2 separate regions of the Mus musculus genome follow, and region 1 is reported to be linked to region 2. Evidence: microRNA targets listed by miRTarBase, many of them from high-throughput screens and not tested one by one. Region 2 holds a microRNA gene; the other region holds the end of a gene's coding sequence.

Region 1 (4,393 bases), not on the chromosome of region 2:
GTTTTCTGTATTAAATACTCTAGTCTCAAGACTCTCTCTCAACTGATTTCAACAACTCAGTATCTCTGGGATTAATAAAGAATGACATCTGTCCCTGACTGTTATGGTTCTTGTAGTTAGTTCTCTGGTTCCCACAGGTTTCTAACCTGTGAGGCCCTATGTATTACGGAAGCTGGTTGTGGAGGAATCTCTGGTGATCTGTCACCAGGATGATGTTTCTCACTTTAAAGTGGGGATGCTGACAAACAGATGTCTGTTCAGAGGATACTGTTTGTCTTGTACTGTAAGACAGTAGGTATCACAAGTTGCAGATGTCATACTCTTGAAATCTGTCGCAGATATTTTTTAAAAGGCAGAAATACAGCTTTTTTTTTTTTTTTTATATAAAATGGACATTTAGAAAGATGTGGAGCCTCAGCTCTCCAAACGACAAGGATACAAATGACAAAAGTTAACTCAAGGTATAAAACTTTGGTCTAAAAATGAACATTAGCTCATCCCCAGTTGGGGGTTAAAGTGACAAGTCTGTATCATACAGTGTTTTTATAAATATTTTTTATTAAATGTATACAGTGATCTGGCAGTGATGGCCAGGATTCTTGCCAAGGACAATGGCTTGGACTTTAATAGATAAAATACATGACTTACATTTAAGGGGAGTGGATATTTCTAAAGTGTCTAAGTAAAAACTTCTCTTAAAATAGATTTCCTCTTAACGTCTGGAATATCTGACCCCGTGTTTGGAATCCCAAGAACTTGTCTGTTTCTCCCTTTACTCCTTACTTTGTAAGAGACTGCCTTTTCAAGCACCGTTTTTTTCATTTGGCATCTTTCCAGGTTTAATGTACCTAGAGTTACTTTTAGAATGTTGACAGGTGCTTATCGGAATTAAACTACATTTGGCTTGATAGCTTCCTGCTTCCCATAGCTATGGGTGAGAGGATTCTCAAGGGTTCTAAAACAGATGAGCACTGGCTTGAGACAAAGCAGTGGAGCTGGCAAGGTCTAGCTAGACCCAGCTTTTTTTCATGCCTACTCATTTTAATTGTTCTCGTTGTAAAAAAAAAAAAAAAAAAATGCCCAGGACACAAATGGGCTGGTGTACAATAGCTAAGTAGTGGCCCAAAGATCAGCACATCTCTAGAGCTCCAGTTAAGAACCTGAACATCTTGAAATACCCCCCCCCACACACAACCCCAATCAACCAAACAAAATAAACCCCCCAAAACTTGGAACATATTCATGAAAATTGGCTATGTTTGGTTATAAAACTAATTAAAAAAAGCAGTTTCAATGTTTCGTTTTAGTTAGTTTCAAATCATTGTTAGGAGTCATGAAGTCTATTTATTTTGTTGTATAAATTAAGGACCATATGACTGTAATCGATGGCAGAAGGAAAACAGAACTATTAGCATTTTTAATGAGAAGGCTTTGGTGGGAGAACCAAGATATGTAAGTTCTGTGTGTTGTTTACACTGTTCAGTCTCACAGCTGGGTGAGTCTGCCTGGCCTAATGTGTCTTAGTTTGTTCTTTTCATCACAGGATCACTGCAGTATTGATCTCCCAGGCTAGTCAGCATTTTACACAACTGTAGAACCTAGCAACAAAGCTCAGATAGATTAAAATCTATCACGGAGCCATAAGCTATTTCTAATTCTTTGAGACAGTGTTTCTCTGTGTAGCCTGGCTGATTTGGAACTTGCTTTGTAGACCCAGTCTTGAGACTGCTCTGATTTAAGGTGTGCACTACCATGGCTGGCTGGCTTAAATTTTTTTTTGGAGACAGGGTTTCTCTGTGTAACAGCGCTGGAACTTGCTTTGAAAACTAGGCTAGCCTCCCAAGTACTGGAATTAAAGATATATGCCACCAACCTGACTAAATTGTTCTCTTAAATATAAAACTTTTCAGTAAACAATCCCTAGGAAAAGGGCGCTTGCTATACTTGATAATACATTTTTTCTTCTGTGGTAATGGGGATTGATCCCAGGGCCTTGACTTGCTAGCTATGCACCAGGCCAACTTAGCTATATTTCTAAATCCTTAAAATATGTGTATTCTGTCTCTGAATTATCTGAGATTACAGTTACTATTGCAGCTTTGGTAACACCTTCATGTTCTTTTATAAACTTGAAAAAAAAATTGAGACAGTCTCACTATGCAGTCTTAGGTGACCTGTAACTTGGTATATATAGACCAGCTATGCCTTGAACTCAGAGATCCAACTGCCACTGTCTATGATGGGACTAAAGGCATGCACTACCATACCTGGCCCTAAACTTGCTTCTTGATGCATGACCAGTGGTTGTTCTAGACCATCAAAAACCAGATATTTATATTATGATTCATAATAGTAGCAAAATTAAAGTTATGAAGTGGTAACAAAAATAACTTTATGGTTGGGGGGTCACCTCAATGTGAAGACCTGTATCGACAGGTCCCAGCATTAGGAAGGTTGAGAACCACTGCTGTAGTCAGCCAATCTGGAGTACATTCAGAGTCCCTAAATACTAGCAACATGGTATGCAGACTAGCAAGCATGGCTCCTCGGAAATGGGTCACACAAGGTTAGACCAGTAGATTAAACAAAAGAACTTTCATAAATGGCATAAAACATCTCTCAACATTCTAATTTCCAATCCTTTTGATACAGAGTCTTGCAGTGGTTGTCCAGGCTGATCAGCAACTCTTGGCTCAAGGAATTTTCCCTCCTCAACTTTCCAAGTACTGGAGCCATCAGCATGTGCTTCTGTACCCAACTCTAGAACTCTTCCCATGATGTCTAGTCCTGGACTGACTTAGTTTCAAGTTTGCTTACAGATAATAAATAGTATACATATCCTAAGATAAGCATGCCAAACTAAATGAAGACTTTCTACATGTGATATTGTAGCTGTAACTTTGTGTTATTTGAAAAAATTATTTTGCACATTAACCTTTAAAGTAGCTAGTTTGAGAAGGTAAAAATGGGATTAAAAATTTTGTTAAATCACATCATGTGTGGTTTATATATATATAAAACCATGTATGTATATATACACACACACACACACATACACACAACTCAAGAATTAGGTAGCACCTACCAGATAGAGGAAACTGTCCCCTTCAGATGGGTGATGCTGCTCAAAATAACTCCATCAAAGCAGCAGCACATTAAAATACCCCTTGAATTATGAATTCAAGGTAAGTAGCTTAGAATAAACCAAAGGGACTGAGTGTGATGACTTCTCACACAAGTTATCACTGCTTTCAAGTAAGTTAACAGGCACATAAATCTTTAATTGATTTCAAGGTTTTTCTCTACCAGGGGTCAAATTCCTAATTTCTTCTCTAACATTCCTTTGGAGAGTCTGTTCCTGCATAAGTCATTTAGTTACTTGCCCATTGAGTTCTACCATATGAAGATAATTAGGATCTGAGCATTCAGATTGGCTTTAACTTGTGACAAGAAGGAAGAAGCCTACAATTAAATATCCCAGAAATTTATTTGATGTTTGCTTGAATACATTTTATATAGAAAGATTGGGATTGTTTGTGTTTGGAGTCCCTGGTAAATCTCTGAACCATAAGGGTGCCATTCCAGAGACATGAGAAATGGAAACTGTAGGCCCAATATTAGGACTGCTGTTTAAGATTTGTCTCTGGTCAAATCAAGCCACTCCCTTGAAAAATGCTTGAGGTGTTAGAGCCACTATGTGGAAACAGCTGACATGAAGGAGGGCATTTAGATTCTGGCTTGTTGAATACTTAAATACTTGGAAATAAAAATATTCAGCTTTGAAGTTTTCAATACTGGAAAACTCTCAAGTCTAGGGTTGACAGCCAGGAAGGGCTGCTTCGTACTCCTTAAATTGGACTGTTTGCCAAAACGTTAATCTTCAGCTTTGGCTTCCATTTCTTCTGCATCATCATCTCCATCCACTTCTGCATTTTCTCTCTCCAGCCGTTCCAGCTGCCTTGCAAGTTCAGTCTCATCTGTATCTGTGACCACTTTGGGCTGTGGAAGAGGCACAATTTCAAAATAAAGTAAACAGCAGAGTAGATTTGACTTCAATAGTATTACTGACCAATGTTTAAAATTTAACAACAAAAAATTCATTTCTAACAAAATTCAGTCATACCTGTGCTGACTCACCACTGAATAAGTTCTATCAGCTGAAAGTTAAGAAAATTCAAGACCATCCAAGGAAGCAGTATACACTACAGTGGAATAATACTTCCTGCCATTTTAATAAGCTCAACTGAAAACGAGTTCACTGATCACAGCAGAAGACCACCAAATGGCCTGTTGTTTTTTTGTTTTTTTTTAAAATGAATATTTTGGGCTCCAGATAAATTATTATCCTTCCTCAGAGATCGAAACATCTATACACACAGATATACAGCATATG
Region 2 (4,393 bases):
CCTCCCACACTCGCCATCTCCCAGGCCGTTTCGTCTGTGCAGGGCTGGTTTGTTCTGGCTTTTTTTGTTTGTTTGTTTCTTTGTCTGTTTGCTTGGTGTTTGTTTGCTTGTTTTCTGGGGGAAAAAGCCATATCGCTAAAATTCTATAGAGGTTGAGATCTTTCTCAGTGTCAAGTCCTGAATGGGCTGGGTTTGCTGCCTCTGGGACCCACTGCTAGGAAAGGGCCCCAGTACTCCTCCACGGATCTGGTTTCCTGCCCAGCCCTGGGTAAACTTAGCCGGAAGCCTTAGGTCCCATTGTCGGCGCTGAGGTGTCTGGCCTGAGGTCAATGGTGCAAGGAGCCGCCACCGGGTTCGCCAGCCTGGAGTGCTGGGCTGTGTTTAATCAGGGAGTCCAGGCCTGGTTTCTCTTTTCTTTCTTCTTTTCTTCCTTGGCCAAGAGCAGAGTATGGAAGCATGGACATTCAGGTTAGCTAAAGGGCTTGACCTGGCTGGTTGAAAAAGTGAAAAAGAAATAATCAGTAAGATTAATTTTTCCTTCTTTTGTAAGATCTCCCAGCTTTAAATGAAAATTAAAATGGGCAAGAGAAGGAAACCTCTCTTCCCGTTTGCCTAAGGTCTTGCTTGCCTGGCTAAAATCCTTCATTCACCTTTGAGTTTCCATATCCCTGCTGTTAACAAATAATGCAGGTTTGTTTATACATGTGGAACTGGTGGATTTTCGTCATTAAAACTGTTACCAATTGGTAACACAAGAAAAGCACACCACAATTCTCCCTATTTAATGGAGGTTGTTTTTTTTTTTTTGCTTTAATTCACTTTTTGTTTTTGTTTTTGTTTTTTATTTTGTAGGCTTTCTGAAATTCATGGAAGCCTAGGTGGGCTGGGGCAAGCAGAAATAAAAATGAGAGAAGGGAGATATTGTTTGGATTTCCTTTATACTGTGAAGTTACATGCATAAAAGGGTCAAACCTGTAGGTGCAGAAAAGAAAAAAAAAACCTATAAATACAAATCTGTATAAATGTCTATTATTATGAAAAATTGCCAATCTTGTTTAAGCAAATGCATTCTATCGTTATTATAAATGTTAGTTCTAGCTTTATTTACTTCAAAATCTTAAATCAGAATAAATTAATATTGTATTGCTGCTGTGCGTGGAAAAAGATGATGTTTATGTTCTTATAGAATAAAAGCTGTGGAATGAAGCTTTTTAATTTCACCTCTTTTTTGACTTCTTATCTTCACCTTCCATTTTATCCTGTCCACCACTTTTACAACAGGAGGGCTAGCCCGAGCCCCCTGCAATTACTTTAGGCATCTATTTAAATATTACCTAGACGGTCGTAATTTGTCTGGGCCCTATAGCCCTGGTGCCTTAAGGTTTGTCGGCTTTTGTTCAGTTTTATGACTTGCTAGTATATCTGGATTGTGGCTGTCTTGGACCAGTGGTTTCAGTTGAGAGGAGAGCGGCATAGACAGAGGAAGCTAAACAGGATTTCTTTAGAGAGCCCCAGAGAGGCTCGCAGGAGCCAGTTATTTTGCGGGTATCCAGGTCCCAGAAGAACCCACGCCCGAAATCCGCGGAGGAGGGCCCACTCACGGAGCACCACTAGTGCCTGCAACAGCGGTTAAGTGGACCTGGGCCGAGCTGTCCAGGGTCACCCCCTCCCCCTGCCCGGCCTCCCCCACCTGGCGGTCCTCCGCTAGGCCACGCGTTTCCTGCTCGCCGGAGGGGGGGGGGGAACACTAGGTGGGGGAAGGGTCGCGGGAGCGCGCGCCTCAGCGGGCGGGCGCCTAGGAGGGAGAAGAGGGGGAGAGCGAGCGGCTGCGGGGAGTGAGTAGAAGAGGCCGCGGCCAGCCACAGGACCCGGCTCTTCGTTGCTGTCCCCTGCGTTTTCTGGTCGTCCAGGGAGGCTCTGTTTGGCAAAGCTGCAGAATCTGGGGAACCCGCCTCACACCGCTGGGTCTCCCCCCCCCCCCCTTCTAGTTTTTTCCCCCTTCCTTTTTATTTCCTCCCTCTTTCTCGTCCCCCTTCCCTCCTTTTCACTCTCTCCTCCTAGGCGTACCTTTCCGGAGCCTGGAGCCCTCTTCATCCACCATGGGGTTAGGGTGGTGTCTGGTACAGGTTGCGGAGGAGGGCTCGACTGGGCACAATCGCAGGGCTCTTTCCTTGGCGGCGACAGTGGCAGCAGCGGAGGCGGCGAGGGGCGAGGCAACCCTACGCCCGCAGCATCAGAACTGGTCGGTGATTTAGGTAGTTTCCTGTTGTTGGGATCCACCTTTCTCTCGACAGCACGACACTGCCTTCATTACTTCAGTTGAAAGCATCTCCAGGTACCTGTCCAGAGCAGCCCGGGATGGCTAGGCGGGCCATCAAGGCCTAATCGTGCCAGGCCTGCGGTGGCAACCTCAGATCCCCATGTGCAGGAGGAGCTTCGGGTCTTCCTCGGCGCTGTGCCACCCAGCCCGCCTCACTGTCGCCGCCCGGCACCTGGCCCGGAGCAGGTACAGTCAGGTTAGCGGCTGATTCTTGGACGCCGGGGGCGTGGTAAGAATTCTGGGCCCCAGGCCATTCAAGGTCAGGGGCGCTCGTTTGCTGTCTGAGCTTTCCATACCTGTGCCTGTGTGGGGCTCTGTCATTTTCCTGCAAGGCTGGGCTGGAACACATGCTCGTCACTGTAATCCCGCTACGAGCAGAGGCAAAGGTCCTTCGCCAGTAGAGACCCAGCCAGAGACGGGAGAGTCAGGACAGCCCGGGGCTGGTATCCTGGCCTTGTTGCTTACCCTTCCTCTGCAAGGGCGCCCTCTACTCTCAGTTGCCGCTGTTTCTTTTACGTATTTTTATCCTCTTTCCTTTCTTCTTTCTTTTTTTTTTTTCCTTTCCCTTACTCCTTCCTTTTTTTTCTTTTCTTTTTCTTGCATCTTCCATCTTTCTGTCCAAATCTGTCTCTCCGCTTCCATTCCAAATCGTTCTTCCGGAGGGTAAAGGGCTGGCTTAGAGAAAGCTTCGAGGTTTCATTCCCCCCACCCCCTCGGTACACAGTTTTGAATGTGCTAAGGTGTGCATAAGGGAAGCTGGTCAGGTCCGTGTTTTCTGGCCTGGTGGGCCTCTGCGCAGACAAGGCCTCGGTTACGATCACGACCGGATGGCGGCGGCCTTGCGTTAGCGGCTGCCCGAGAGATCCGGTGAGGGGGCACCCGCGGCGTCTTTGTGTGCCCACATCGAGGGCAGGAAACACTTTGCCAGATCCATTGGTTCGGAAATTGGAATCAGGGCTGAATTCCTGCCTAGGTTCTGTGTCGCCCGACTACTGAGAACGCTTCAGCGGGAAGCTTCTGACCGACTCTGCCAGCTTTACGGGTCCTAACTCGGGCTTTGACCGTGATGAGAGAGCCTCACCGGGTCCAAGGCTTGACTGCTCGCTGGCTTGCTAGCCATTTTAGATTCAGAAAATGTCCTGCCTTGTGCAACTGAGGGTTTGAGAAGGGAGACCTTCCCAGGTCCAATATATTTTAAATGAGTGAAAACAATCCCAAATTCAAGATCAGGGAGGGCACAAACTGGGGCACTGGTACTAAATTGTAATCTAAGAAAACCAGCCTAACGACTCTTAATACAGAAACCTGAAACAAACCACCCTCTCCCCACCCCCAACAACACAGGCACTGCCTGAGACCACAGAACTCTGTTTCCCTTCCCGGCTCAGGCTGATGCCCGGGAATTGTTTTCGTTGCTCAGCCAACAACCTGTTATCTGAGTGACCAGTACTCCAGGCTCCCTCCAACTCTTCTCTGCCATTTTCTGCATCCGGGTACTGGGCTTATTTCAAAGACCAACGTTTTTGGAAGATTCTCAGTTGAGCATGAGGTGTTGTGTGGTTGCATCCATTTATTATTTCTAGATGTGTATACAACTCATCCAAAAGAAAGCAGAAATAAAAACCTGTATACTTTAGGATCATGTTTCTAGACTCACAAGGACAATATCTCCTTTTATGAATTTTCCCCCTTTTGGGCCACATGTAAACAGCTGCTTAATACTCAGTACCTAATTCTTTGTAATTTTTCTGTTTTGAGACTAAAGTTTTAAAAGTATTTTAAATTAATAAATATTAATGATATTAATGATGATGGTGATGATACATATCTTCTCTGAATACAAAAAATGAAAAAGTCAGCCAGGAATACTCTACCATTTACTATTACAATTAAGAGCAGAGTTATACTCCTGGGTTATTGCTTTAATGAAAACCTGAACCTCAGAGGACTACCGGATATTTAGAACACCTTGGGTTGTGTTGGGGGTGTGTGTGTCTTGGAGGAATTTGCAGGGAAAGGAAAAATATTAGGGGGAGGGGACTGAGGCAGTCAGGACAGGCCACATCCAGTTCC

What was found. Region 2 holds the annotated microRNA mmu-miR-196b-5p (UAGGUAGUUUCCUGUUGUUGGG, at 2,253-2,274, shown strand). A microRNA usually pairs through its seed, bases 2 to 8, with sites in the 3' UTR of a target mRNA and lowers its output. Matches are read on the target gene's strand: a 7mer-m8 pairs with bases 2 to 8, a 7mer-A1 pairs with bases 2 to 7 and ends in A, and an 8mer does both.
Region 1: the mRNA of Eif2s1 is a reported target of mmu-miR-196b-5p. Seed matches in the 3' UTR shown: 7mer-A1 at 3,072-3,078.

What each region holds. Positions count from the first base shown.
Region 1 is chr12:78,884,397-78,888,789 of GRCm38, reverse strand. Eif2s1 (eukaryotic translation initiation factor 2, subunit 1 alpha) reads right to left here. Exons shown (of 8, transcript NM_026114.3): 8 at 1,780-3,999. The coding sequence ends at 3,874. Plek2 (pleckstrin 2) reads left to right here. Exons shown (of 9, transcript NM_013738.3): 9 at 1-93. Among named protein-coding and RNA genes, the nearest start is that of Plek2, 20 kb to the left of the region's middle.
Region 2 is chr6:52,228,010-52,232,402 of GRCm38, reverse strand. It overlaps Mir196b (microRNA 196b), which reads left to right and starts at 2,238; the gene lies at 2,238-2,322. Hoxa10 (homeobox A10) reads left to right here. Exons shown (of 2, transcript NM_008263.3): 2 at 1-1,206. Gm52902 (a long non-coding RNA gene) reads right to left here. Exons shown (of 2, transcript XR_003956434.1): 1 at 2,068-4,393; 2 at 1-491.